Linked DNA regions of Alligator mississippiensis. The protein of the gene in region 2 interacts with the protein of the main gene of each other region in a pairwise test. Links are inferred from orthologs where the notes say so. Each region holds a gene or a part of one and is shown on either strand. Other genes may lie near its edges.

Region 1 (7,225 bases), on a different chromosome or scaffold from region 2:
CACTATAGAGGCATGTTGCAGAATCATAGACAATGAGAGTTGGAAGGGACCTTAGGAGGCCATCTAGTCTGGCGTTTCTCAACCTGTGGGTCACAAAAATATATGAAAGGGTTGCAAACGCACTTAAAAAATGGATCAACAAACTTTAAAACTGGATTGTCGTTTAAGAGAAAAATGTGATAAGCTGCAGGTTTTCCCTTGCAGGCTGACAGAGTTTCAGCCTGTAAGGGGCTGCTTGGAGGTCCCCCTTGCCTCACAATGGGGGAGCTGGGGCCTGGGGCAGCGGGTCAGGAGTGAGGGCCATCAGCAGGGCTGTGGGTTGTTTTCTACTTAAAACTGGGTACTGGGTCAGGACTGGCCATCAATGTTTACAAATGGGTTTTGGTACGAAAAAGGTTGAGAACAGCTGATCTAGTCCAACCCCCTGCTCAAAGCAGGACTACAACCTCTGAAACCCTGTCTCTGGCAGACTGGGACAACTGACTGCATGTGGTACCTAACTGGTACACTTTTCTGCTCATGTTTCTCAAATAAGTTCTAATATAACTGACTGAAATCTTACTTGGCATTAAAAAAAAAAAAAAAAAAAAGGAAAAACCTTCCCTAAAGAGCAGACCAGAAGCAAGGTAACTTTTTTGAAGTTTGTATTTCTTCTCCCTTGGGATCTCATTATTTGCATATATGGTAAGCTGAGTTTTAAACTGAGTACTGTATCATTACCCTACAATTTAAACAATTAGTTTTTGTTGCTCCATTGCTGTGTTTTTACTTGGTGCAAACCCACTAATCTTTCCATGTCACAATGATCTACATCCCTATTTGAATACCTGGGGTGCATAAGGCCTAGCAAATTAAAGTGGCCAAGTCAAAAAAATCCTTGTTAATGACATAATTGAATCTACATTCTTCTAAACAAGGGTGCCCTACCCCCCTAATAGACTTACACATTTCTTTTCACTTGTTTTTGACCCCTTTGTACCCAACAGGATCCTAAATGCTTGTTTTAAAGTTGGTGTCAGCCATCTGCAGCCCTCTGACTGGGAAGCTGAAAACCAGCATATGGGGTAGCAGTAACAGAGCCTTCCACAGGGGTGTTCAGGACTCCCCCAACCCTTACCCCCTTTTGCTGCAATAAGTACATCATACATTCCTCCTCCCAGATACTTTGATCCCAGGAGTTCAGTCCAAACCACAATAATCAGCATGCAAGAGAAGCGATTTGGAGGGATAGTTTCACAGGTGTGGAGATGCACAGGCCAGTAACATGGACTTCTTTTTGTCACCTGGGTCATGCTGGCAGCCCTAAGCTCTTCCCATTGCTTTTTCACCCTGTCACAAAGTCTAGAGACTAAAACCAGATAGTCTGCATAGGGAATTGAATGTAACACAGCACTTTTTACAGGTAATGGTATTAACACCATTCGTTTCTTAGCCGGGCCCCCAACGGCTTAAGTCATTGTACTTGGATTTTCCACACAGCTTTTAAGTGGGATACAACTGATGACACCTAATGCTAATAGGGCGACCCCATAGCAATAACAGCAAACAATGGTCACAGGTCATGACTCAAGTTTCCCTGCTTCTTACCGAATTGGTCAAGAGCTCCTTATCTCAGGGGAATGGATGGGAATACAGGTATTTGAACTTGAACTCTATAACACCCCCTCCCTCCCTCCCCTATTTTCAGCCCCTTGTGAGCTAAGTAAGCTGCACTGGTCTGATACTAGAGCCAAGCTGGATTTAAAATGGCACTGTGTAGTGGAGTGTGCACCCTGCAGGGTCCAAATGCAGACAAGACTCCCTATGAGAGTCTCACTGGCCAGCTTCCAGTGGGAGGATCTTGGCTACACACCAATTTTATGGAAATGGGGGGGATCCTCCCTAGCTTGCTCCTGGGGCTGTTGGCTGATGGCAAGCGAAACTTGGGGGCATCCAAACCCCAAGCCTCCAGGCTTTGGCAGGCATCTTGTATGCAGGCCCATGGATTTGGAAGCATCTGAAGCCCCCAGCTGAAAAGACTGGGGTGGAAGATACTTGCCAGTAGAAGGGCCGCATACGTTTTTTCAACCATTTAAAGGATTGTAAACTGATCTGGCTAATTTGACCTGCAACACACAAAAATTCTCAAAAAAAAGCCAGATGGGCAGAGGTGGGGGAGCCTGGAACTCGCCTCCAGCCACGGCAGCAGCTTCTGAGGGGCCCCGAGACCTCGCCACCCACCCAGTAATAAGCCTGTCTGGGTATCCTCCACTGTGCGAAGCCACTCTGCGCTGCTGACCCAGCCTGCCTGGCAGGGTTTCAGAAGCAACCCAGCTGGACTATAGGCTTGCTAAACCTGGCCAAGCCGTGCTGTAACCCCAACGCCAGCAAGCAGCTAAAAAAAGTGCTTTTTAGATCAAGTCTAAAAAAAGGTCCCTTGACATCCTTATTTCAGGCCCCAGTGCTACTGCCCCAATGCAGCGTCCTGCAGCTAGCAACAACTTGCTTTGGCTTCTGTCCAGCCCCAGCGGCTTCGGGGTGGCGCATGTGCACTGCTCCCGGCCGCTTCCATGAGGGGGGTAACCCCCCACCGCCTGCAGAGCGGCCCCTCAATTCTTACCGCCTCCCCCTACAGCGGGTGCGACTGCATCATGAACCCAGACCGCTGGGACGCGACCAAGAACGCCTCGTGCCGCCTCCCCCACCCCGCGTGCCCCACGCTCGGCAGTCCGGGGGGCCGTTGTCATGGATGATGCCGCCCTCCCCACCTCCGGGAGTGGCACTTACCAAGGCCTGGGCAGGCCCGGAGCCACAAGGGCTCCGCCTCCTCCGCTTCCCAATGGCCCCGGCGGCTGCGGTGCAGACGCTTCAATATCCCACGGAGGCTGCTCAGCCTGCGTCGCCTTCCTATGATGCTAATGTGCCCTCTCTGTCTGCGCTCGTGGTTTGTCCTACCGGCCACACCTGAGCAGGGCACCTGTGGCTTGTACCATGTGTGAAGGGGGGGAGGGAGGAAGAATCGGGCGACACTACTAAGGCATAACTAACGTGCGAGAAATTGTCAGTCCCACAAAAAGCGGAAGCGAGGCTGGGGAATAAGCTGATGCACGCCCTCCCTCCCACGCCGCCAACCCGGAATCAGAGAATGGTACAGTCCAGGGACACCGTTCTTGCCTCAGGGCAGAAACAAGGTGCTCTGGCAGGGGGCGGGGCCAGAACCAGGGGGCGGAATCAGGCTGCTCTGGAACCCAGGTGGCCGCACTCCCTTCTGCCTCTCCACACACGCGTTCTGGCCAATGGGATGGGAGCTGCTTAGAGCCCTGGCGCTGCGCTGCCTGGCACAGCCCACACGTGTGTGGGCGAGTATCCCGCATCAGGTGTGGCCTAGATCTGGGCGCTTAGATCTAGCAACACGTAAGAACAGCCTTTCACTAGGGCAGACCATAGGTCTATCTGGCTCAGTCCTGTAGCCCTGGATGCGGATGCGGAGTGAACTGGGCGTGATACAGGGTTCCCGCCCCTGCCCACTTTCTTTCTTGCGTGCAGCCTCCAGCATTTAGGGTTTGAGAAGTTATGATTCAAGGCCTGTGCCACTAACTCCCCTGCTCCACCACTAGTGCTGCCCCTTTCCTCCCAAGACTTTGTACAACCCCTTTTTTTGAAGCTGGCCAAACTCAGCTTCCACATCTGGTAGCAACGAGTTCTACCCATCAAGGAGAAGCAGTGTGAAAACTTCCTTATGCTTTTTTTTCAAACTTACTACCTACTAGTTTTCCTGTTGTGACCCCCCTTGTTCTTGACTTGTGAGAGGGAGTAAATAATAAATCCCTATCTACTTTATCTTCCTGTTTAATATTTGGAAGGCCCTTGTTGTGCCCCCTGAACCATCTCTTTTTCTAAACTGAATAGGTGTAGCCTGGCCTGCAGGAGCCCCCGCAGCCAGAACAGATCTAAAAATGTGGGGGGTGGGGAGAATGTGGCAGTAGTTGCCATTGTTGTGCTACCAAATGGCCAGACCTGTGGGGAGCCCCATGGGCAGTGCCAGATTATGACATGCTGAGGCTCTAAACTATGTCGTTTAAGAGGCTCCATAAGATAAAAATAATCCACAAAATCCACGAAAATGGGTTTTCATGAAATTTTAAGATGCAATATTATTATTTCTGCACACATTTATGAACTCAATATGAATAATAACTGTGGAGCCATATATATGTATATTTTTGTCATATTAGAATGAAAATGTCCAGATTTTTTTTTCTTATTTAGAGGCCCTTCATATTGTGAGGCCCTAAACTGTATCTTAAGTAGTTTAAGCCTAAATCTGGCACTGTCTGCAGGCTGGGTGGGCATGCAGAGACCAGCTGGAGGCAGTGCAGGGGCTCAGTCCTCCAGTGCAAGGCTGAGCAGAGTCAGAGTGGACCCCAGGGAAGCAGTACAGGGCCCAGTCCAGCACAAAGGATCCGTGCCACTCATCTGGCCCCTGGCACCAAAAGGTTTAACACCACTGGTTATTATTAAACTTCTTCCAAAAAAGGGTGTCTCCAAAAAAAACATTGAATCTGAATCAGTTTTTCAGCCAAATACTTCTGCCATTTCAGAAGACAAGATGAGGCAAAAACAACCTTGCTACCCTCCCCCTCCCCCCCAAAAAATGTTAGCTGAGGTTTTACAGTTATCTTTGGAAGTGTCTCTATGCTACAGAGCAAGGGCTTGAGAGCTAGCAGACAACCTTTTCCATGTTGTAAAGGATGAGTCTTTTCCTGTTCCAATAGGGCAACCTGTTCAGATTTGGTCAAGTTATCAGCCTTAAAAATAATGTGTCGGGGAGGCTCACTGTTCAGTAAAGATTTGCTGGAGTTTGGCAGCTATAGGCTGCAAAGGCTCCATGCTTAGGGATGAGCAAAACTTTTTTCTGTAATTGCTGCAGGCTTACTGTTAACCCAGGCCCAGACACTTGGGAGTCATCCAACTTATCCTTGCACTCAAGGATCACTGGAGAAGTAGCAGTCTGATAAGAAGACAGTGGGAATGAGAGCTGATGGCCATGGGCTCTGGAGGGAGTGAAGCGGGACAAGGAGTTGGAGTTGGGAAGAAATGTTGACTTCTTTTTAACATAGGTTTTGAAAGTTATTATACAAAGAGGTAGCACACTGAATACACTGTCCAATTTTGGTCATCCAGTCTCCAAAAGAGAATAACAGAAACAAAGGAGCTTAGTTAAAAGTTTCTTTAAATCTGTAGGTAGAAGTTAGGGAGGACTAAGCTAGGTTACATTCTAGGAAAGAAATCAAAATGTAAAGATAATACTATTGTCTTTATTCTAGCAAAGTTTCTTTTCATGAGTTGTTTATTTTGCCTTTTTTAATAATAAGTATAAAAGATCTAAAACAGGGCAATGAAAATAATTCTAAACTGAAGACATTTCCTTCACAAAGAGATATTTGAGCAGACGGGACAACTAGATCTGTTTTAGCTGACAGGAGACAAATATGCAGTAACATATTATAATAAAAAGGCTTCAGTTGAGCAGACTTATTTTCTCATTTTCTCAGAATGTAAGAATAATGAACCATACATTTAAAAAGCCAAGACCTCAAAACCAATAAAGGTTTATTATTATTCAAATGTGTATTTAACTTGTGAATTCACTGTCATCTGATATTATGGACCTCTGTTTAATGGAAACCAAAACAAGAATTGGGCATTTTATATAAGCATTTAAATTAGTTAGGATAACTCTAATAACCGTCATGAAGGCTCATACTTTAGGATATATTTAGTAAATCAACCACTGGCAGTATGGGATTGAGAAGAAAAACTCATTTTAGGCCAGTTACATGCAAACATATTCTGTAGGAGGGCTTCATCTTCATCTGGCCATTTGTTTGGAGACAGAAGAATGGCCTCTAGATCAGGGTGGCCAACCTGCAGCACAGGTGGCATAAGTGGCCCAGGCAGCCTGTGTGTGTGACACACAGCAAATCAGGGAGAGGACAGGCAGCACAGCGGCAGATAGGACACAAAGCAGAAAGCAAAGCAGCAAATTGAGCAGGGAGTACAGGGAAGGAAAGGAAGAAGCAAGCAGATGAGGCAGGGAGCATACAGCTGGAAGCAGAAAGCAGAGCAGCAGAACAGACAGAAGAATGGGATCAGCGTGGCACTTGGTGAGAGGGTGGAGCTAATTTGTGGCACACCTGTCAAAACGGTTGCCCTGCTACCTGCTCTAGACCATTATTTTGATACGTTCTGATTCAGTACTGCAATTCTTAACTACATGGAGTAGTACTTTTCATCAGGGGTTGGCAACTTGTAACCCACAGGCCAGATCTGGAGTTGACGTGGACATTCAGCAGTGGGGGGCTTTGAATATAGGCATTTTCCTTACTGCTGTGGGCAGAAGCACTGATTGTGGACAAGTCCTTGTTCCTGCCCACCTCAAACCAGAGGTGAATCATTCCATCCTGCAGCCAGAAAAGGTTGCCTACTGCAGCTTTACATCACAAGTTGTTCTTCTGAAGTCAGTGGAAGAAGCTGCAGGGAGAGATACATCCCAATAAGAGTTTGGCTATCACAATCTGGTGTTCAGATTCTAAGAGACTGACAGTGGTTTGCTTTGGCAAGCAAGGGTGGTTCCAAGCTTCTTTCTCCCGTATCTGAATTGTCTACTCAAAGCCATAGGTGTAATTCTCTCTTGTTAATACTGCCCTTCAAAAGATTAATACATACTGTTCGCTGATTTTCTTGCTTGTAGCAGATAATTAGAATTTCTTACTCTGGGTCAGTTCATGCTGACATACAGATCTGCTGCTGAAAACCAGCAGTTTTTCTTCCCACACACAACCTTTGAACAGGTATACAACAAATTATTAAAACTATTTGCGCTAAGTAAACCAAGCTGCAGCATAAAGTGCTGGGAAAGATGCATCTTTTTCTAACAGTTTAAAGCAGGGGCTGGCAACCTTTTACAACCTGTAGGCCAGAACAACCCAGCTTTGGGCCAGCACAGGCCAGCTGTCCAGCAGGAGGCAGGGAGCACTTTCCCCACACCAGGGCCAGGAATTGTGCATGGTTCTCCAAACCCCCACTCCCACACCACAGCTTGGGGGGGATCTGCGGAAAGGGGCAGCAGCATGGATACAGTTTGCGCACGCCTAGCCCTGACCCAGCTGAAAGCTGCATCTGCACTGCAGGGAAGAAACAGAGCTGGGGAAAGCATGGGTATAGCTGCTTGGCCTTGGGGTCA
Region 2 (7,261 bases):
GATCCCATTAAGCCAAAGTTAGGCTGATGCCCTGTACTAATTTAAGCACACGTCTAAACCTTGCACACATCAGGACTCCCTTTGAAGTCCATAGTACTATTTGTATATCAAGTTAAATGCATGCAGAGTAAGAGCCGCAAAATAGAAGAATCTGAACAATCTCTTCTATTATATGTTTGAAGGACAATCCAAAGGTAGGGATGTACAACATAGTCCATCAGATCAAGCCCAGTAATTTGTCATAATTCTTTATTAAGCCACTATACTAAATGAAAAAGGATGTGAAAAATTAATAGTGAGTCCTGTTGTCCTCCCTGTACAACAGATTGTTCAAGTGTGCATGTGACTGCATGTGAAGTCCAGTTACCTGGCTGTACACATGGCTAAGGGCTTATATCTGATCAAAGCAAATCTTACCAGTGACAGCTTCCATTGGAAAATGTATTTTACAAATGGCCCTCAGAAAACTTTTGAGTTGTGCAACCTTGCCAAAACCCTACTGTGGTGTATATATGGGTTAAAGAGAACAACAGAAAAGAAAAAAATAATTTCAGTCTACATAATTTAGACACGTATAATGCTTTACTCACCAAAAATCTTCTGTAATACTCCAAAGGTTCCACAGTTCTGGAAAAAAACAGAAAAATTCTTATGGAAAAAGCTGTTTCACAAAACTGAATTGGCTAGTCAAAACCTAGCAAGAAGCTTAGTGCTTTGCGGTTTAGCCAAGTTTGACAGTCAAGTCCTGTCTGTCTGTTGACTATGTTTGGACAGAAAGCTAGCCAGCACTCCCAACAACATACTAGAATACTCTATCATGATTTTTGTGATGGATTTGAGACATGAATTCAGATTCTAGAAAGATGGTGGCCCTGAAAAAAAGAAAGGGCTCAGAAACAATAATGTTTGGCAAACATGGAACTTTTTGTCAATCACCCACAGAACAGTCTTTTGTACAATTCATTCATTTTATACCATTACATTGGACATCTCTTCAAACTAACAACACTGAGAGAGGTGGAGGAGAAGGAGATGATCATCAGTAGCAAATCTATACCTGAAAATAGCTATGGCAGTCTGTAACACTGCCATTAAAATAGCACAGCATTTCCTGGAAAGGAATGTACCTCGGTACAAGGCTTTCTTAGGTTTTGTTCAAACATGTATTTTTGGAGACAGCCACAGGTATAGTAATCCTGAGAATTAATTTAGTTTCTCTGTATACATATTTTGGCATCACAAATCAGGAAAACGAGTTTAAAGGCAATTCCCAATAAGTCACCCTGTGAAGCTCCTAACTGGCATCAATACAGGTATGACTTCCCACTGGCTCAGGCTGTAGGATCTATGTCCCACTTCACTGAGGGTGAACAAGAGACATAGGGGAGGGGGGGAAAGAAAGCTGGATGGCTGTACAATTCCTCCCTTGGCTAAATTCCTTGAAACACACCCTTTGTCCAAGCACTTCAAGACCTAACCTTCTTTTGCTCCAAACAGATCCCTCCCTTCCAGCCTACCCAAGACTTGAGACAGGGTCCTGGTTGCTTTAAATTTCCCCCTTAGCTATTTCTTGGCTACACCAAGATCTACAGCTCACAAAATACTTCAGCTGAGGAAAGATCAATTCTCATGCCATGTTGTGGAAGCTGCCCATGTAACCAGATTCCAAAAGGGACTGGACAAATACTCAGAGGAAAGGGGCATCAACAGCTCTTGAGCAGAATCTGAATTTACCAAACCTTAAATGCTGGAGCCTGCAAGTAGGAGAGGAACAACAGGGAAAACCCTGCCCCTGTTCACTCTCCCTTTCAGCATCCACTGGCTGCCACCATGGGACACAGATGGGGGTGGAGGGGAGGGAACCTGAGTTTAGGGAACAACTAAAGAGAAAACAGGGATGGGAGCGAGGTCATGAGTTTAACAAAAGTGCTCTGAAGGGGGACATGGAGGGGGGACAGCACACTAGGGCAGTGCCCACCGGCCCTCAAAGGAACCAACAGACTCTGCCCATGAAGCTGCCCAGAGACATGAACAAAGCAGGGACAGGGAGACATCCTTGCAGGCTCTGACAGCTGTGTGACACAGGTCCAGCTGGTGGCTTCCAAGGGACTGGGGCCCTGCTCAAGCAGAGCTACAAGACTCCCTCAGCAGAGGCAGCCGCTGAGAAAGCAGCACCTGGTTTCCTGGGATGAAAGAAGGCAACGTGGAGGCAGGAGTGAGGCTTGGAGGCTCAGAACTAGGCGTGGAGGCTGGACCCCTTGGGCAGCTCCCAGTGATGCTGGGAGGGGAGACGGCCCTGCGGCCCCAGGGCTGAACCAGGTATGGAAGGGAGGGGGGGAAGCAGCAGCTTCCCTCAGGGGACGCACCCTGGCAGTGTTGCCTGGTGTACAGTATCATATTCGTGCGATGATTTCAACTATTATACAATGTACAATCAATCAGAGTAAAAGCGTTCAAAACATAAGATCATTTTTATGGGCGTTAATTGATGCCGCATACACAACACCCAAATCTCCCTCGGAGGGTCTTAACCACGCTTTTGGCCTTGCTGCCAGCACTTCCTTACTACGGCCTGCCTCAAAATAAATGCTTCAACTTTGGTGGCCCAGGTCTCTCTCACTCACTCACTGACAACGAGCAGCGAGCAACAGCCAGCAAGCGAGAAGACGTCTTTGCATTCTCATTTGCACAATTATTCGGCGTACGAAAAATTTTCAACAAATACCATAATTTCGAGCTAGTAATACCACAGTTTCATACTTAAAACCTGGGAAAAGCTGCGCCCCGCCTCGGCCGCAGGGACCCGGGCAGCTGGAGGCTGCCCGCCGCCAACGGACCCGGCCGGCGGGAGCTCCACCAGCCCCTTCCCCCGAGACCTGTGCGGCCGCAGCGAGACCTGCCGCAGCCCGCGGGATAGACGAGAACCTTACTTGAATCCGGCCGCCATGGTGCTACTTCCGCCCCGCTTCCGGGTTTAAGGATGTACATCCGGGGTCATCCCCCCACTCCTGCGCCGTTGGCGGCGCTGGGGCTGTACCCCGGAAGTTTTCCTTACCCGCTGCAGTTCTCTTCCGGGTCTCGCAGAGCTGCTTCCGCCTCGCTGGCACTGCCCCATGGCACTGCCGCTGCTAGTCGTGGCGGCCGCGGCGCTGGGCCTTCTGGCGACCGCCGCCCTCAGCTTGGTGAGTGTGGCCGGGCCCCGCTGCCTGCGCCATGAGCCAGGGCCTGGCGCAAATTGTGTCACGGAGCGGGGGCCGGGAGGCCGCGTCGCGCCACCCCCGGCGCCCCCGGGGGGAGGGACGGCCCTGGCCCCAGCGCTGCGTCATATGGCCCCGCCGCCCTGCCCTCTGGAGCCCCCCGCGGGCCAGGCTGGGGCGGGGGCACCGCTGTGCTAGGTGTACCGGGAGAGAAGGGACCCGAGGTTGCGCGGGCTGGGAAGCTTGGAAACCTTGGAGGATTTTAAGAGCTGGTTACCCGAAGCCTTGGTTGGGATGATCCAGTTGGGGCTGGTCCTGCTGGACTCGCTGTGACCTCCTGAGGTCCCTCCAACCCACATTTTCTACAATGACAAGTTCTAGCAGAGCATAAGGGCAGCCTGATGGTGCTGCTTCACTTGCGCCGTGCACCCTGTTGCTAAAATGCTTCATGTTCAGAAGCTTGCAAAAGTGTATCCCAGCCCCATGGCTGGGCTGGTAAGATGCGCCCCCCACACCTATTTTTTAGTCCCTTTGTGCACTTGTGACATCTCCTTTTACTTGTAAAAACTCTTAGTAACACTTACTAATGTGAAAACAGAGGTTGAAACAAAGCAGCAGCCTGCATGTACAGGTCATGTGGCTAAATCAGCGTTGGCAAATCAGCTTTTGTTTTGAAGCTTTGTGGCGTGGAGCGCTTGAAGCATCAACCATCACTGGTTGCTACATGCATCCTCCTCCCAGCGTGTGGACCGCGCTGTTCCTCCACTCGGAGTATGTGTTTGTGCACATACATGCGTGTGTGGTGATGAAATCACAAAAGTGTTGAAAATGGTTGCACGTTGCCTGGTGTTTTTAAGCAGCCCTTTGTGTATGCGCACATATGTGCATGCATGGAGTTTGTTTAAACAAAATGGGAAACAAGTTCTTTTATGCTCTGCTTCCTAGTTTACCATCATGTCTACCTTACCTAGGCAGTCCCAGGCAAGAATAAGATCTTGATATTTTAGACCCTAACAATAATGGTTGCAACACTGCTATTTCGGCAGTACACATAATAACAAGGTTTAGATACAGTGCAGCTCGCAGTCAGCAGAGCATTGAGCGTAACAAGTTTGTGGGAGCTTAGATCAGTCCTTTAGTCAAAAGCATCTATTCCACTTCAAAATTACGTTGGCCACCTACTACAATCCAAAGGTCAAATGTGGTATGCGTAAAATGGGACCCATGAATGCCATATGAGGACTGTAGGTCCTCTTTGATCTGGGCAACAGAGGAGAGGGCTCCTCAAGAGATGACTCCACCTTATTTGTAATAGGAATGACTGTGGATTACTTTTTGCCAGTGGATCACCTTTGCTCATCCCTGGTTGTAGGCAGTTGCAACTTTAAACCAAAAGTGGGAGACTTAGGATTGCATATCAGCCATTCCAATTTAACAGTTCAGTCTGTTCACTTCTGTACCGCTGTAAGTGAACTAATTTCTTTCAACTTTGACCTTACATTGTCTTAGCTCCGTTTATCCTTGCATAAGAGCAGAGAGATGGTGCACTTATCTTGGCTATAGAGTAATACCAGTATAACGGTTACATCTATGCATATCTCTTATTTCACCTAGTGAGAGAAGCTTGCATGATGTTTACCAAATACCATTATGCAAACCATAAGTGTAGATAGGTCACTAAAGCATTTGGTCATAAATACTCTTCTTGTTTTTTTTTTCTTCAGGTGTGTATCACTGCCCATGTAACTGCCACAAAAATGCCAAGCTTTCAACGACATGAAGAGGAGAAGTTCTTTGTGAATGCTGAAGGCAAGAAGGACTCTGTACCAAGCATACATGACCCACCTACAAAGGAGCTCTCTGTTGTTGTGCCTTCATACAACGAGGAAGACCGGTGTAAGATTCTACCCAAACTTAAGTCTGTGTTGTAAACAGTTGTCAGCAACAGAGCATTGCAGAGCAGGTTATATAGCTGCTTTGCATACCTTGCTCCCAGGTTTTCGTGAAACAGCATACATCAATGGGATTTCATCCTAGAGAGCAATTGTAGCTTGTCTGTATCCCTGGACAAGTCATGCCTACGTTTGTCCCAGAGTAGAAGTGTCCCGGGATTGGCTTTTACTTGTATCACCCTTCTGATCGGGGTTTAATGAGTGGCTGAGTGCACTGCAGCTTTTCTTCCATTGGTTCAATGATGCACTCCCAGGGTAACTGTTCAGATGCACTTTTTGGTGTTCCAGGATAAACAGTACTTCTTATCCGTTGAACCTTTTTAAGACTTATCCTGAGACAACAGACTTGGACGTCTGAACAATTGCACTTCGTCATGGGATAAAATGATTTATCTGAGAATCAAGGTACTGTTTGTTTATAGCCTTGGAGTCAGCATGGAGCAGAATAAAAATGAGCTTAAATAGCCTTCTGAGTGAGTCTGGGTGCACTGAGGAGAAATAAACCACATCACTCCACATAAACCTAGGCCCACAAATTAGCCTAGTAGAGGACTTGGATTGCTCCTTCAGGTGCACTCCAGCAAATTGTTGTGCCTCTCTCTGCTGAGGCATACACTCAAGCCTGCTCCAAGTCATCTGCCTTGACAACATGCAAACCTGGGCTTGGGTACACGTGTGGAGGGTTTGTTTCTCAGCTGCCATGCAGACTTGCTCGGGGCAGCTTGGACATACTATTTGTGTGTCTTTTTTGAGATTTCAGCCAGCAAATGAGCTGTATGGTAGGAAGAATGATTTTGTGAAGCATTTTTAGGTTTGATTGCTGCCTGTTCTATGTATTTCTTATGCAAATCACTAATATGTAAAGGTCTTTTTGGTGTAAAGGGGGCTAAACTATAGACTATTTCATTTGGCAAAAGCATGTGGGAGGTCATTCTCAATAGTAGCCCCTCAGCTTTGGAGCTCCCTCTCCCTTGAGGTGTCCCAAAGCACAAATCTGTACATCTGGAAGTGCTGCACGATCTTCCTATTTGGGCAAGCATTTATCAGGCAAGACCATGCTGGAATATTGTTTAGGACATTGGTTCTCAATCTTTTGAGAGTCAGGACACCCCTCCTTAACTTTTTTTTTTAATTTGGTGGCACCCTGATTGAGAATCAGATGTACTGCCATAGCTTTCCAGGTAACTCCTTCTTCAATTCAGTAAGGGGTTTACTAACTCCTAACATTTTCCTTTTCCCACAATAGCACAAGATGACAGCAGTGCAGTCATTAGCTCCTATCCCACTCATTTTAGGAAAACTTCCCCAGGTTTGATTTTCCTGGTTACTTACACAAGAAATTCTCAATTAGTTGCATTGGAATTGCTCCTGATTTGCACCACATTAATTGAGATAGGAATGATGTGTAGACAGCAAAATAAAATAAAATGCTCTTCTACTTTCCCTCCCTATGAAGGACTCCTATGGATATGAATGGGATTCTTGTGAGTGGAATAAAGGGGGTATAAATTGACCTGATTTATCTTAGTTTAGGACAAAAAGGCAAATAGTCTGGGGGGGACAAGACTGTAATAAGCACAAGAACTTGCTGTAATAAGCACAAGAACTTTTTTTTTTTAACATAAGCATAAAATTATCATGGGCTCTGTCAGCATGTCAATGGATTCTCCCATCTTTAGGGCAGTGGCTCTCAACTGGGATACTGCTGTGATTGCCACTACATCCAAGTGCAACTGTTCTGGGCATCTCCTGGAGAACCATACTGTGAAGCAGCTGTGACAAGAACATCCTCTGGGCACGCTGGAGGAGAGGGGCAGGCTGCAACTAGATACAGACAGGTTACAGGGGTGGGTGGATAAGAACAGGATGGGTTTCAATACTGACAAGTGCAAGGTATTGCACCTGAGGAGGAAGAACCAGCAGGCTGGGGAACTCCCTTCTCGTCAGCACAGAGACAGAAAAGGACCTTGGTCATTCCACCCCATTCTCGTTAAAAAGCTAGGCGACTGTGGCATTGATGCCTACACAGTCAGATGGGTCGCATATTGGCACACCCAGAGAGAGGCCAGGCCACGCCCAGAAAGTGATGGTGGATGGGTCATATTTGACCTG
Region 3 (7,305 bases), on a different chromosome or scaffold from region 2:
TCATTGCCAGGCGCTGGTGGCCCCTGTAAATTCACTGCCTCACACTGGCCCTGGCCCCACACTGCCCAGGGGGGCCTGGAACGGGGCCAGCCTCAGCTGTACTGCCGGGTCAGAGAGGATGGAGCCCACGGGACTCCCGTGCCTGCCCCACATCGTCCCTGGGAAGAGTGACTCATCCAGGGGTACAACACTGGGCAGCCAAGGGAGACCCATTGTCCCCTGATTTTTGCATGGGGCACTGTTGGGCTACAGCTGCGAGCTGCGCCTTGCCTGCTCCACACCTCGCTGCTGCCTTTGAAAGCAACATGGTTCCATGCAAGTCCCACTGCTGGGCGGGCCGGGCAGCGAGGCACAGGGCGCCAAGCCACACCACTTTCAAAGGCAGTAGTGAGACATGGAGCAGGCAGAGCGCAGCTTGTAGCTGTAGCCCGCTGGTGCCCTGTGCAAAGATCAGGGGGCCACAAGCCCCACTTGGCTGCCCAGTGCTGTGCCCCTGGCGGTGCCACCAGGCTCGTTGTCCCATGACCCGACCCAGCCAGGACCCCATTCACTGTGAACGTAGCTCCAGCCAGGCTGGGCTGTGGGACAATGAGATCCCAGCGGGTCGTCCAGGGGCACAGCGTGGGGAAGCCAAAGGGGAAATGTGCCCCAACTCCCCTCCTATGCACACGGCAGCAGGGAGCTGGCCCTCCCCCTCCCCTGGACAAACTACCTGCAGCCCCGTCCTGCTCCCCTCTGGGGCCCTGCAGCCGCACACTGAGGCCCCAGACCCAAGGCCCACCTGGCTGGGCAGCAGCCTGCCCTGCTCCCTTCCTACAGGAGCCTCAATCCCCCTCTCCCCCACTTACCTGATGCAGCTGCTCTGAAGACTGCCCGAGGCCACTGCATGTTTTTGCACATGGCGCCCTGTCTTCCGCCTTCCTCCTAACAGCTTTTTACCCAGGCTGGGGCATCAATACAAGTGCCCCGCTGCCCACTTAAACAAGTAGCTGATTTTAATTATTCAAATTGGTCAAGTGTTTCCACTACGCATGCACCATTGGGGCAGTAAGGAGATCGCCCCAAGGTCCCTTATTGTGCATATGCAGAGTGGACAGGAACAGCCTACATAATCATGACATGATAGGTCATGTTGTTTTGAAACTGGTGGGGCAGCGCCTGAGCACCCGCCCTGCTGCCTGGCAGGCCGCCTGTGCATGTGTGCGAGGCCCTGGCTGGGACGCACCTCCCCCTTGGCGTTGGCGTCCTCCACGATCTGCAGGAAACGCTGGATCTGCTCCACGGATGGGGGGCAGAAGTCAGGGATGCGGAGGCGATGGACCTGGATGCCAGGGCAGGTGTCGTGGTAGGGTGGGCTGCGCTCGCTCAACGACACCAGGTGTCGGATGCCGTGCTCATGCATGTACTGGTAGTGTGCAGGCAGTCGCGGCATTGCCAGCCCTGCCAGCTTGTCGGGCACCACCCAGGAGAAGTTTGGAGGGACGGCTGATGCCATCACAGCTGCAGCAAGAGAGAAGCAAGTGAGCGAGCTGCCCAGCACACACTTTCTGCAGGTCCTCCCACCACAGTCCTAGCCTAGCTCCCACCAGGCCCCTCTGCCCCAGGGCTCTGCCACGATCCCCATTCCCTGGCTCCTGTATCACAACCCAGTGGCTCCAACTCCCGCTGCTTCCTGCTGGGGTGGAGAGGATGGTGGCACCTACTCCATGCCATGCATACTGCATCCCCACACTGCCTGGCCAAGGGGTTGGCCCAGCAGCTCCCTGTAGGCTGGGAAGGGGCAGAGGAGTTGGTTAGGGCCCCTCGAGACATGTACCCCATCCTGCCCTGCCCTGTCCCAAAGCCGCACAGCCTGGCTCCTTCCTCCCAGAGTGGCAGCATCAGCTGCCACAGCCCAGCCTGCAAACCCACTGTGCAACCTGCTGCCACGACATCCACTGCAACGTCTGCACGACAGCAGGACTGGGAGGTAGAGATGCAGAAACACTGCGACTGATGACAGCAGCAAGGAGAGCTGGAAAACGGGCTGGCGCCCACTTCTGCACTGCCAGGAATGGAGCTGGTCAGTCCCAGCCCAGGGCCACAGCCACAGGGAAAAGGCCCAGCAGCACAACCAGCCCGACGCAGCCCCTGCAGAGATCTCTGGCTGGGCCCAAGATAGCCACAGATACCCAAGTCATCCCTGAGTCTCCAGCCTCACTCTCGGCAAACGGCCTGGAGCCGACAGCAGCCACAACCAGACTCCCACAGTACCCCTCCGCCCCATGGACGTCCCTTCCCTGGAGCGCGGAGGTCGCTGTGGACCCTGATCTACACTGAGCCGTGCAGCTGAGGGCAGATGAGCCTCCCACGCCAGGGCTGCGGCATCCTGGCCTAGTGGCACGAGGGCCATCGCACCCCTGGAAGGCAGAGGAGGGACAGGGCGCACTGCAGCTGCCCCACGCGGGCAGGCCCAGCCTGGTCAGCCACGGGCACCTGCAGCTCCCACCGAGGGCGGCGCAGATTCCCCCTCCGCTGGGGACGCGGCAGGCTTGGGGCAGCCCGTGCCACCCCACCCCACCCGCCTGTGCCCGGCAGCCAGCGGGCCTCACCCAGCGAAGCGCTTCTCCCCGGGGAGCTGGCGGCTGGGCTTTCACCGCGCGCTAGCCACTGCCCGAGCCGGGAAACGACTTGTCTTCAAAAGGGGGCTAGACAGACACCTGGCCCGGGTCGCTTGACCCCGCGCTCTTCCCTGCCACGGCAGAGGGTCGCACTTGACCTGCTCAGGAAACGCAGTTCCGCTCCCGCCCCCGAGCTCGGCCCGCCCCGCCCCGCCCCGCCCCGCCCCGCCGGGGCGCTCGGGGACCCGCCGCAACGTAAGGCCGGAGTGTTGCCTCCGGAGTGAGCCTCTAGCAGAGCTCCCGGGACGTGGCGGCAGCGTGTCCCGGGGGGTCAAAGGGACGTACTCGGCACGTCTGCACAGAGGAAGCGGAAGCTGGAAAAGGCAGGAGGCTTTTGTGCGCTCGCTCTTTGTGGTGGGAGGGGAGCAGGACAGGACGTTTGTTGGGCCGTGACGTTTATCCTCCCAAATCGGCCACAGTTCGGCCTGTTCCGTGTGTCAGGGGGGTTGTGGTAGGTGTATGTGTATGTGTTTCTTTATTTTTATATATGGAAATATATCTATGTTCTCCACAAAAAAAAAACCAGCCTCCCAAGACCACGGCCTGTCACTGCAGTCTGCCCTTCCCGAGGGCCACTCGGGCGCTGTTCTGCCAGGTCTCTAGGTGAAGGCACTGTGCAAATCCCTGCGGCAGGTGGCAGTCGGGCTCCAGTTCCCAGTACCTTCTAGTTCTTACTGTTTTGCTGAAACGGGTCCTGGCTCTCGTCCTAGCCGCCCTGGGCGAGTCCTCTTGTCCCCGGACAGGACGGCTGATGCTCTGTGAGCCGCGTGTCTGGAGTAGTACAAAGCTGTAGCTGTGACGCTGACCCTGCACATCCCTTCTCAGCGCGCGCAGGGCAGTGCATGGGGGCCCGGCAGGCTCCTCAAACCCAAGCTTTGGCTGCAGAAGTTCTCAGTATTTTGGCATAGTTAAGAATGGCCTTTTGGCTCACATCAAGTGTAGTCCTTGTTCAGGCAGGGGAGATGCCAGGATCACCTTGAATGCTGTTGTGTAGTTAAGAACGGAGACGTGTCCAGTGCACTGGGCACAACCTGCCCTACGAGAGTCTACTGTAGCCGCCCGACGGCAAGAACTCCGCTATGCACTTTATTTTTATGGAGATGGGAGATTTCTCCATAGCTTGCTCCTTTGACTTTTTGGCTCAGGACAAGCAAGACTCAGGGGCATCTGAACCCCAAGGCGTGTAGGATGCTGCCACAGATCTGGAGGTGTTTGAAGGGTCTGGGCAGGAGGAAACTTGCCAGTGGTTGAACCATGCAGACCTCAACGATGGAGCCTTGCTTAGTCAATAGAATTCGAAACTGATTTGGAAACGTAATTAAAAAAATTTAATAAAAAAAGAAGACAACCTCAGCTAGGAGCTGCTTGGCCTTTTGGCTAAGAGCAAGCAAGGCAGGGGGTGCACGTAGGATGCCTGCCTGGAGTATCCAAAGCCCCAGACGGATGGGTCTGGGAGGGAGGATACTTGCCTGGAGGTAAACCACATGGGCATGACAACTGAGTTCTGCTCAGTCAAATTTTGGAACTTGGGCTTTGTCCAATAGAATTGGAACTGATTTGGCCTTGATAAGGATTTTTTTTTTGGTAAAAATATATGTCCATATATATATATATATATATATATATATATATCCTTTCCCAGCAGGACCAGGCACCTAAGGAAGAAGCAGCCCGGGGAATGCCCTCCACAGCAGAGTGGCAGACGGTCACATCCAGGACCGGAGCTGCTCACAGCGAACAGGTACCAGTCCCTCTAGTCCAACTGGAGAACAGGTACGAGGCCCTGGTGACCCTGCAGGAGATGGAAGGAGAGGAGGAAACCCTTGGGCAGGAAGAAACACCACATTCTTCACACTCCCAACAGGTCAAGAGATCCAAGAGGACCCAGAGGAGGAGGCGACGAGTGCTCGTCATAGGCAACTCCATCCTGAGAGGTACGGAAGGGCCCATCTGTCGCCAGGACCCCTCAACACGAGAGGTATACTGCCTGCCTGGAGCAAAGATTCGGGATGTGACGGAGGTAATCCAGGCCAGGATCAAGCCCACCGATTACTACCCCATGGTCCTAGTCCACGTGGGTACTAATGATGCGGCCAGGAGAACCCCTGATCACCTGATGGCGGACTACCATGCTCTGGGCAGCGTGCTGAGGGGTTTCGGTGCACAGGTGGTGTTCTCTTCCATCCTACCAGTGAACGGACGCGGAAGACGGCAGGAGAACTGCATCCGAGAGACCAACTGGCGGCTTCGGCAGTGGTGTCTCGAGGCAGGCTTCGGCTTCCTGGACAATGACCCGCACATCACGACGAGGGACATGCTCAGTTGGGATGGGCTTCACCTGTCCCCCAAAGGTAAGCGTGTGTTTTCTACTAAGTTGGCGGATCTCCTCCAGCAGGCTTTAAACTAGGCTCACCGGGGGAAAGGGAAGATGAGGGCGGGGGAAGCTGTGGACCACCAAACCATGTGGCACCCACAAGGACAGCCCAGCCTGAAGAAAGAGAACATTGGGAACCTGCAAGCCGCAGGGCGGCCAGCACTACGGCACAGGTAAGAAACTAGAAGGTAAGAAATAAGGGGCCCCTTGGGACTCGGAGCGGGGGGGCAGCAAAGGCACCTGTCGCAGGGCTCAAGTGCCTATATACGAATGCTAGGAGCATGGGAAACAAGCAGGATGAACTAGCGCTCCTGCTTGCACAACACACCTATGACTTAGTGGGGCTAACAGAGACCTGGTGGGATTCATCCCACGACTGGGCGGTACATATTGAGGGTTACAGATTGTATAGAAAGGACAGGGTGGGGAAAAAAGGGGGAGGGGTTGCACTCTATGTCAATGAGCAATATACATCGACCCTCATCAAGACAGAATCCGAGGTTGAGGAAGTAGAAGGATTGTGGGTTAGGCTACATGGGGGGCAAAGGGAAAGGGATTTGGTGGTAGGGGTCTGCTACAGACCCTCACATCAAGGGGAAGAAAGAGATTCGGGGCTCCTGAGGCAGCTCTCAGAGACCATAAAAGCTAAAGAGGCAGTAGTCATGGGGGACCTAAACTACCCGGACATCTGCTGGGAGACGCAGACGGCAAAGTCCCACCGCTCACGCAGGTTTCTAACCTGTGTACAGGACCCCCACCTGACACAGGACATACATGGTCCCACTAGGGGGAATGCCATACTGGATCTGGTATTGGCAACGGGGGATGACATGGTAGGGGACCTACAGATCAGTAGCCAGCTGGGGGACAGTGATCACCTAATAATAGAATTCACCATAAGACGTCGAGTGGGTAAGGTAACTAGTAGGGTGAAAGTGCTAGACTTCAGGAAAGCTGATTTAAATGAACTCAGGCGATTAGTCAAGGACGCACTGCGGAGTAGGAGTTTTGAAGGGATGGGAGCCCAAGAAGGGTGGCTGTGCCTTAAGGAAATGATCCTTCGGGCACAAAGCGAGACGATCCCCGTGCGAGGTAAAAGAGGGAAAGGGGCCAGGAGGCTTTCCTGGCTGACCAGAGAAATCCAGGGCAGCCTAAGGGCCAAAAGGGGAGCACATAAAAAGTGGAAACAGGGAGAGATCACTAAAGATGAATATACCTCCTCTGCTCGTGCTTGTAGGGAGGCAGTTAGACAAGCCAAAGCTACCATGGAGCTGAGGATGGCAACCCAAATAAAAGACAACAAGAAATTGTTTTTTAGATATATAGGGAGTAAAAGGAAGGCCCAGGGAGGAATAGGACCCCTGCTAAATGGGCAGAAACAATTGGCGATGGACAGGAGGGACAAGGCTGAACTCCTCGACGAGTTCTTTGCCTCAGTGTTCCTAAGTGAGGGGCAAGACAAGTCTCTCACTGGGGTTGTAGAGAGGCAGCAGCAAGGCGCCAGACTTCCATGCGTAGACCCTGAGACGGTGCAGAGTCACTTGGAAGAATTGGGTGCCTTTAAGTCGGCAGGCCCGGATGAGCTCCATCCGAGGGTGCTGAAGGCACTGGCCGACATTGCAGAGCCACTGGCGGGAATATTTGAACGCTCGTGGCGCACGGGCCAAGTCCCGGAGGACTGGAAAAGGGCCAATGTGGTCCCTATTTTCAAGAAGGGGAGGAAGGAGGACCTGGGCAACTATAGACCTGTCAGTCTCACCTCCATCCATGGCAAAGTCTTTGAAAAAATTATCAAGGCTCAATATTGCCAGAGCCCGGCAGGACAAATTATGCTGAGGGGAAACCAGCACGGGTTCGTGGCAGGCAGATCGTGCCTGACCAATCTAGTCTCTTTTTATGACCGGGTTATGAAACGCCTGGACACAGGAGGAGGGGTGGATGTCATATACTTAGACTTCAGGAAGGCCTTCGATACGGTATCCCATCCCATACTGGTGAACAAGTTAAGAGGCTGTGACTTGGATGCCTACACAGTCCGGTGGGTGGCGAATTGGCTGGAGGGTCGCACCCAGAGAGTCGTGGTGGATGGGTCGGTCTCGACCTGGAAGGGTGTGGGCAGTGGGGTCCCGCAGGGCTCGGTCCTTGGACCGATACTCTTTAATGTCTTCATCAGCGACTTGGACGAGGGAGTGAAGTGTACTCCGTCCAAGTTTGCAGATGACACAAAGCTATGGGGAGAAGTGGACACGCTGGAGGGCAGGGAACAGCTGC
Region 4 (7,999 bases), on a different chromosome or scaffold from region 2:
AGTTGCTGACCTATCTGCCTGAGGTACCTCTTTCAATTACAAGAGAGAAGAAATTTGGGCAAGTCAGCTTGAGCATCCCATGCCTGGGAGTGGCATATGCAGCAAGGTCCTAAGAGATTCTACCCTGGAGTCAAGAGCCATGGGGAAGGCCAGGCTCAGTTAGGTGTGAAAAAATAAAATCAGCATGAAGTTCTCTTCCAAGCAGAGTACAAACACTGGGTGGTTACCCAGCAGAATAAAGCAGCTATAAAAGATAAGAGAAGATAAGATTTGCTTTTTCTTTAGGTCGACTTAGCTTTTATCTGGACCCACAGGTGTGTACAATGCTGTTCTTTACCAGCCAGCGTCAGTTAAACCTTGCAACATCCACACTCCAAGTACACAGCTTTGATAGAGATTCGCTTCATCAACACATCCAAGTCTCCAGACACTGAAAATAAGGAGGCTTTAAGCAACAGGCCATCTTGCAGGCTGTAGAAGTGACTTGATTCACTTGTACAAGGAGGTATTTGGAAACTGTTTCACTCCCTCCAGTGCCATTTGTTCTTACACAAGCAGGAGTCAATCTTGCCACAAAGCAAAAGTTCCTATAGAAAGCAACTGTGGTGCTAAGACCCTTTACCTGCGTGCTTTGCAGATGCAGCCTGCCTGCAAGCCTGGGGCAAAGGAACAGACTATAGGAAGTCATCCTGCACTTGCAGAAGTTAATGACATATTGTGGCAAGCAGATGTTCCAGGCACTGAGCAAAAGCAAAGACCAAGTCAACCATAAAATCTGTCTTAATGTACCATTGACAGGTTCTGCGCAAAGCCGCTGTCGAGGATTGTGGCCCAAAACCTGACATAACTTTGCTCTGTTTCTCATACCAGCTTGCAAAGCCCATTCTGGTAGTGAATTTATTTTTACTGAAACAAGTAGTTATTTTTTTTTCCCCCTCCAGCAACCAAAAATCATGGGAAACCATTCAGGAGCAGCAATTAGAAACTAATCTGGAAGAGTCCAGGTGTGCCAACCCAAGAAATGTTTCACTTTCAACTTTCCAAGGGGCTGCGAGAGTGAAAAAATTAAGCTTCCCTGAAACATGCAGATTAACAAGCCACAGAAATATACATGGTGGTGGCAGCAGTGGTGGCATACTCTTCCTAGACAAGGCCGTATATATACACAAACTAAGCTCTCCAATTTGCTTAACTAAAAGATGACCATCATCACCACTCTCACACCACCTGTCCCATGGTGATCTAAATAGGCCAAGGGGAGATACTACTATTCAAGCCAGCACACAGCACATAGACGAGACTTTTCAGTGCTGCACTCAGAATTGAGGGTGTATTTGGAAGATGCTTTTTGTAACATATGCACTGGCCTCCGCTAAATCCAGCAACTGTCCCTTGAGGCTAAAACCAGAACTAAGATCCTCATGAATATTACATTCAAATGAACTGGGGAGGCAGATCCAAACTACCTGGAGTATTTTGAACCCAGGCTTTCAATGAGCAAATAAGGAGACAAGTTTAAGAGTCCAACCACCTCTGAAGCAAAAAAGTCAGTCCCTGTGTGGGTGTAGCTGGGAAGTGGCTAAACTGCAAAGTGAGGAAGAGAAGAGCTGCTGGACCCGTCCTTGTTCCCCGAGCTTGCAGCAAGGCCTGACGAGCAGTTCCCCCCGGGCCAAACTTTTTGGAGGTCTGACAAGAGCCCGGCCATGGGACTCAGTCAAGAGACGCAGGAGCGTGCCCCGCTCTTCCCCACGGCCTTAGCGACCACGGCCGAGGACCAGGACCTGCCGGGCACGGGCAAGCGGCCGGGCCGGGGCCTCCGCACAGGAGGAGCGGGAGACGGGTCGGGCTGGGCTGGCCGGGGGTAGCGGCCCATCCGAGCCTCTCACGGGGGCACCCAGGGCCCAGCCCGAGCAGCCGCGTGGCCGCGCTCGCCCCGCACCCCGAGCTGCAGCGCCGCCGCCTCCCGCGGGCCGGGCCGGGCCGGGCCGGGGAGAAGAGACTAGGGGCCGGGGCCTGGCGGCCGGGCGCGTGGCCGGCGGCGCCTACAGCCCCCACAATGCCCGCGCGCCGCACTACATATCCCGGCGGCCGCGCGGCCAGACCCGCCTCCTGCGGGAGGCTGCAGAGTCACGGCCAGGCCCGGAGTAAACACACCCCCCTTTAAAGCTCCCCAAGCGCGCGGGGACGGCGCGGGCGGCCCCGGCTTCCCGGCCCCCGCCGCCTCGGGCCCCCCGCGCCCGCCCGGCCCCGCCCGGCCCGGCCCCCGCGCCCGCCCGCAGCCCCGCGCCGGCGCCCGCGTGGCTGCATTGTACGGCCGCCCGGCCCCGCCCGGGACCCCCGCGCCGCGCCGTGCCGCGCCGTGCAGTGCCGCTCGGGGGGGCGGCGCGGGGCGGCGGGCGGGCTGGCAGGCGCCGCGTGCGGCGGCAGGAGCCGGAGCCAGCGGAGCAGCATGGCCGGGCGCTGCAAACAGACCCACGTGCTCCTGCCATCCACCGGCCTCCCCGCGCCCCGCTCTCCCTCCGCCGCCGCCCCGCGCCCCCTGCCCTGCCCTGCCCTGCCCTGCCCTGCCCTGCCCCACCGGCCCTGGCGCGGGCGGGCACCCACCTGCAGAGCCCGCCGATCACCTCCTTCTCGGATTTCCTGAAGTGCTGCAGCGAGGGCATCTTCTGCGCGGGCACCATGAAGTACTCCATGCCGGGCGGGCGGGCGGGGGCCCGGCGGGGCGGCCGCGCCGCGCGCAGCTGATCTGAGCCGAGCCGAGCCGAGCCCCGGCCCGTGTGGGTGCGTGTGCGCGCGTGTATGTGTGTGTGTCTGTGTGCGCGCGCGTGTATGTGCGCGTGTGTCTGTGTCTGTGTGTGTGTGTGTGTGTGCGGGCGTGTGTCTGTCTCAAGGCGGGAAACAGCTGGTGCGAGCGCAGCGCTCCCTCCCCCGGCGGCGCCGCCTCCGCCAGCCCCGGCCCATGTAAACAAAGGACTATTTGCCGCGGCCCCGGCCCCGCCGCGCCGCCCCCCGCGCCCGCCCGCCGCCCCCCCGCGCCCGCGCCGCCGCCCGCGCCCCCCCGCGCCGCGCCGCGCCCCCCCGCGCCCCCCGCCGCCGCGGGGCCGCCCGGCTCCCTGCGCCACTACGGGGTGATGCGGCCGTCAGCTGACAGCTCGGAGCGGGAGCGGGAGCGGGCGCGGGGCGGGGGGGGCGGGGCGCCGCGAGGGGTTGGGCTGGGCCCGCACATGGCGGAGCCGGCTGCGACCCCCGGGCCCCGCTGCGGCAGGACTGGCCCGACCCGCGCCGCGCCGCTGGGCCCCACGTGGGAAGGGCGGGCGGGCGGAGCCGCACGTGGCTGGGGCGGCGGGGGGCTGCCCGGGCCCGCAGCCCGCGGGGGTGGCAGGATGCAGAAGGCGCCCGGCCCGGGGAAGCGGCCAGCCGCTCCCCGCCGGGTCTCGGCCTGCCCGAGGGGGAGCCTGGCAGCACCTGCGGGCCAAACACTGCGGGAGCCGCTCGTCTTCGGGGAAAGCAGCAGGCCGGGCACAGAGCGGGGTTAAGAGGCTGTTTCCCCTCGGAGAGGGACAGGTGCCCGTCAAGCTGCCCTGGTCTGCAGGGGCGGAAGCGGCAGGTCCGGGGGCCTGCAGGCAGCCCATGGATTCCTGCCGCCCAGCCCCTGCTTCCCATTGCTGGGTTCAAATTGCTCTCTGTCTCAGTGGGAATCAAAGGGTTTCAAGCCAGTTTACAGCTGCGCTGGCAGGTGTTAGGGTCATGGTGTTGGAGGCCTGGGGAGCGCTTCCGTTTCTAGGTGAAGGCTAAGTCCAGTAAGGGGCCTTTCCCAGCTCCGGTACATGTGTTTCTACAGTAAGGTCATTTTCCCCTTTAAATAACGTTGCTGAAACCAAACCTGGACACGGCAATAGAGCTATTCCATGGGAGCCACAGACCTTACTACACGGATACAAAGTCATAGAAAAGTGCTGTCAGGACCAAACAGTTAAGTGCCTGCGAACGGGTTCAGTGGCTGTTAGATCGAGCTGTGTGGAACTTGCTGCGGTCTGTGCATGGAGTAGGAAAGGCAGGGGGAGTAAAGGAAGAGGAACAGGTGATGCAGAGGCTGCTGAAACTTTCTGACAGGGGGCTGGTTCCCCCTCCAAGTGACTGCAGTTTAATTTCACTTTGTCGTTTAGCAGCTGGAAGGCAGGAGCAGAAGTGGGGGGAGGGGGGTCCAGGTGGAGCCCAGCAGCAGGGAGAGGTGGGGAGCAGAGGCAAGGGGAAATTGACTAATTCTGCTCAGTTTCCTATTGCATCCAGCTCGCTTTATGTGGAAGAGAAACTGACTAATCCTGTTCCTTTGTATCTAGCTCTACCTGGATGTGCAAGAGAAAACTCGGAGATCCTACAAGGACTTCATACAGAGCACCACCAGCCCTGAACATTCAAAAAACATGTGTAAGGCCCCTCAAATCATGGGATAAATTCCTTACACTGTGGGTTCCTGCCTTGAGCTGGGGGTTGCCCTGGAGAGACTCCAGGTTCCTGCCAGCTCTGTTTTTTGTGGTCTATTTGCATTCTGGCTTTTAAGGTTCTAGGGGTCACATTTACAACTATTTCTCTGCAGCCACAAGAGCTAGAACATATACATATATTTATGACAGATGAGGTTCTCCTGAAGTTGATGCTTGAAGTGGGGAGGGAGCAAAACCATCAAATAGTCCCTAACTAAGTAGCAGTTCACACACACATGCTTAACTTTATGCATTGTCTGAATGGACCCATTGAAATAAACAGGATTCCTTACAACATCAGGCTAAGTTCATGAGGACATCTTTGCAGAATCGGGACTGTAAATTGTTTTGCTTCCCTTTGCCATCTTTATAAAACACCAAACTGAGAAAAAAGGCAGGAGCAAAGAAGGGAGAAGGAATGAAAAGGGAAAACCGAAGATTGTAAAGGAACAAACTAGAGAACAGGAAAGGCTGGAGGGGAGAATTGCAAAAATAACAGCACAGTAAGGAGATGAGAATGCAGAAGAAAGGAAAAAAGTGCAGGGACAGAAGTTGTTGGAAAAAGGAAATAGAGAGCTTGCTCTGCGCACTGCTCCTTACTGTCCCGCTCAGCCCCAGGATAGACCTCATAAAACTTTCCTGTTCTGATTGTACCTGACATCGGTCAGTTGTGTAGATTATTATTCTTATAGCACTGTATCAGCTAGAACTAATATTGTATTTACAATAGACATGAGAACAAAGCTTTGTGCCAAGGCAACTAGATATGAAGACAAATCCCTTTGACAGACCTGTTAATTCAATACATTTACAGGGGCCCAAATTCCAATCCCTCTAGTCAAAGACAGAATCTGTATGGTAAACTTACCATCCTAATGCATCTTTAAGCATACTGTTCTGGATGAGCTGCCTCCTAAATCTGAAGCATAGTAGCCACGTTTCTGCAGCATTTGAGGCAAGCTAATTAATGTTGTTGCATGACCGACAATACAGATTAGTCTACTTCAAGCTTATTAGTCCACCTAGGCCAATGTAGCTACACTGCTCCTGGTTTAGGGGCAGCCTACCCAGAGCAGTGTATCATGCTTGGGCACGGTAAGGGATGCCTACACTGTGGTGTATGCCCCAATTAGGACAGCTCCAAGCATACCTCACTCACCTACTGCCAAAATGCTCAAACCAGGACAGGTACCAGGGAGACTGCTCCGTGGCTGCTCTCAAGCACTCTGGAAACTGAGGGCTAGAGAATGGCTTCTCATCAGCTTTACTTCCAGTCTGAAACATGCTGGTAGAAGTACTGGGTGGGGCATGGTACCACTACAGTACCAATATGTCTAAAACATCCTACAGATGCAGACCTGGAAGCTCTCATTGGATTCAATGGGAATTTGCTTTAGGGAGAATTAAGAACCGCTGAGCAGGGGTTTAGGTTGTAGCCGTGTTGTGAGCAGGAATCTCAGGGTTTGGCCCAATTATTTAACAAGGGTTTCCTGACATGGCTGCCTAGCTAGAAGGCTGCTATTAGCTTCTCTGCTATCAGTTCAGCCAAGGTAGTAAGCAACCAAAGTGCTAGTGGCTTTTCATGCAGCCCACTGAATAGAAGTGATGGGTGGGTCACTGGCCAGTTTCTAACATACAAACATCTGTGATGTTAAAAAAAAAAAAAGACCCCAAAACATGCCACTCCTATCCAGCCACCTTATTCTGGGGGAGAACAGGGATTGAGTGGAGCCAGAGGAAAGAGCTCCCCGACACAGACAGGAGTCCTTCCAGGTGACAGATGAGACATACATGGGTGGATCAATATAAGAGAAACTTGCACTGCAGCTGCCTATGCTGGGAATTCCTTTTCCTGGAAGCAGCAGTAACTTCCTTTTAAACACTGGAAAATTGCTTTTATTTACAAAGTAGCTTCTTGCCCCCTCTGCTGATCACAAAAGTATTGTCCAGTATCTCAGGATTCCACCTCTAATGTTGGCCAGTTCTACTGAAGAATTACCTTCAGTGGAAATGGGTTCACAGCAACTGAATTGTGTCAGTTTTCATCAGTGAAAATAATGTGTTCCTTGAAGGTTCCTGGTGACAAAACCACAACAGCAGCCCTTGAATCACCAGCCCACCCCACAAGGTTACAGAATGTTTCTCAATTTGTGGCTAGTTTTCAGTTGAGCAGGAGACTGTGCTGCATAACACAACCAGCATCACCAAAGGCGCCTATTTTCTGTTAAATAAAATTATTTAGCATGCAAGAGAGTCATAGTGTCTCCTGGGAAATATATTTAGAAGGCAAGCCCAGAGTAATAGGATGCTATGAGACCCCTTCCAGCTCACAGCAAAGCTTGGGAGGCCACCAGTTCTTCCCTGGTGGGATGCATCATCTATCTGTATTTGCTTTTTCACTTCTGAGCTGAGCCCCTGGTACTCTAGGGTTGACCGGGCAGAAATTGGAGTACAGTGGAGTATGGTTGCACATCTCTTGTATCTCTGGAGGACAAGCTAGACCAGGGGCAGGCAATTATTTTGGGCAGAGGGCCACTTACTGAGTTTTGGTAAGCCATTGAGGGCCGCATGACAGGCAGCCCAAGGCAGATTAATATTAATTTTCTAAATTTTTTAGGGGCCCCGTGGGCCAGATAGAATGGCCTGGCGGGCCGCATCCAGCCCCTGGGCTGCATTTTGCCCACCCCTGAGCTAGAGGCTTGAACCTCCAAGCCCTTGTCCCCTCTCCTCTGTTCCTCCACTGGGGGGAGGGGGAGGGAAGGGGAAAAAGACAAGCCAAGCATCTGGCTTTAGGAGGTGTACACAGAGGTGGGTTCTATGTCCTTTGTTACTAGCTGCCCTGCCCCTGGTTGCCCAGTACTGTGTCACCACAGGCTGATAGAGATAGGGGTGGGGGGGTTCAGAGACCAGGGGGACCACTCTTGAACAGCCCACTGCCTGCAGGGAGGAGCACAGCCTGCCAAGGCCCCTGCACCAGTTCCAGCTCCAGGAGAGAAGCAGCCCTGGGAACAGTGACTGGCTGAACAGCATCCCCCACCTTGGCCTTAGTGTGAGGCGTGGCAGGAGGGGACAGGGGCACCAGGGTCTTTCTGACCCTCTGTGAGTGAGGTGGCTGTAGAGGGGACGGAGAGAGCCCAACCCCCTTCCTTCACCCTGGAGCGACCCGCTGAGGGTGTCCTTGTGGTAAGGGTGTTCACACCTTCTCAATCCTTTTGCATACAGCCACCACAGCAATGGTCAGGGGATTCCTTTGAGTGCCCCAGGGACTGCTTGGACAGTGCTAGGACCATGGGTCTGACAGAGCAATGGCAGAGCAAGTTCGCCCCCTACCACCACAATCCTGTTGGTCCTGGAGGTGGAGCCAAAAGGCCGTCACAGAAAAACTGCAGGGCTGAAGCAGGGCAGTACTACCCTGGTCCAGGAATCGGAGACAACAGGGCTGGGTGCAGCCAGGTTATGCTCCCAGAGGAGCTGCGGGCCTCCTGCCAAGCACAGGTCTTCACTATGCCAGCTGG

Evidence for each region.
Region 1: the proteins of EXOSC8 (region 2) and OTUD4 interact in binary tests that used the Homo sapiens proteins (3 or more experiments, as listed by UniProt). The two-hybrid records come from large-scale screens. The link is inferred for Alligator mississippiensis from reciprocal best matches to the Homo sapiens genes EXOSC8 and OTUD4.
Region 3: the proteins of EXOSC8 (region 2) and DUSP23 interact in binary tests that used the Homo sapiens proteins (3 or more experiments, as listed by UniProt). The two-hybrid records come from large-scale screens. The link is inferred for Alligator mississippiensis from reciprocal best matches to the Homo sapiens genes EXOSC8 and DUSP23.
Region 4: the proteins of EXOSC8 (region 2) and TFAP4 interact in binary tests that used the Homo sapiens proteins (3 or more experiments, as listed by UniProt). The two-hybrid records come from large-scale screens. The link is inferred for Alligator mississippiensis from reciprocal best matches to the Homo sapiens genes EXOSC8 and TFAP4.

The regions. Positions count from the first base shown.
Region 1 is NC_081825.1:101,278,755-101,285,979, reverse strand, and holds the start of OTUD4 (OTU domain-containing protein 4), read right to left. Parts: upstream 3,014-7,225; 5' UTR 2,767-3,013; intron 1-2,766.
Region 2 is NC_081824.1:420,423,969-420,431,229, forward strand, and holds the start of EXOSC8 (exosome complex component RRP43), read right to left. Parts: upstream 3,017-7,261; 5' UTR 2,948-3,016; coding exon 2,931-2,947; intron 628-2,930; coding exon 591-627; intron 1-590. Other genes in the region: ALG5 (dolichyl-phosphate beta-glucosyltransferase), read left to right, coding at 3,114-3,182, 4,922-5,093. UniProt on the Homo sapiens protein: Non-catalytic component of the RNA exosome complex which has 3'->5' exoribonuclease activity and participates in a multitude of cellular RNA processing and degradation events.
Region 3 is NC_081838.1:22,712,374-22,719,678, forward strand, and holds the start of DUSP23 (dual specificity protein phosphatase 23), read right to left. Parts: upstream 3,010-7,305; 5' UTR 2,946-3,009; exon of another isoform or gene 2,592-2,945; intron 2,040-2,591; exon of another isoform or gene 1,912-2,039; intron 1,501-1,911; 5' UTR 1,496-1,500; coding exon 1,226-1,495; intron 1-1,225. Other genes in the region: RNA-directed DNA polymerase from mobile element jockey, read left to right, coding at 5,316-7,305. UniProt on the Homo sapiens protein: Protein phosphatase that mediates dephosphorylation of proteins phosphorylated on Tyr and Ser/Thr residues. In vitro, it can dephosphorylate p44-ERK1 (MAPK3) but not p54 SAPK-beta (MAPK10) in vitro. Able to enhance activation of JNK and p38 (MAPK14).
Region 4 is NC_081836.1:24,933,991-24,941,989, forward strand, and holds the start of TFAP4 (transcription factor AP-4), read right to left. Parts: upstream 3,018-7,999; 5' UTR 2,694-3,017; coding exon 2,605-2,693; intron 1-2,604.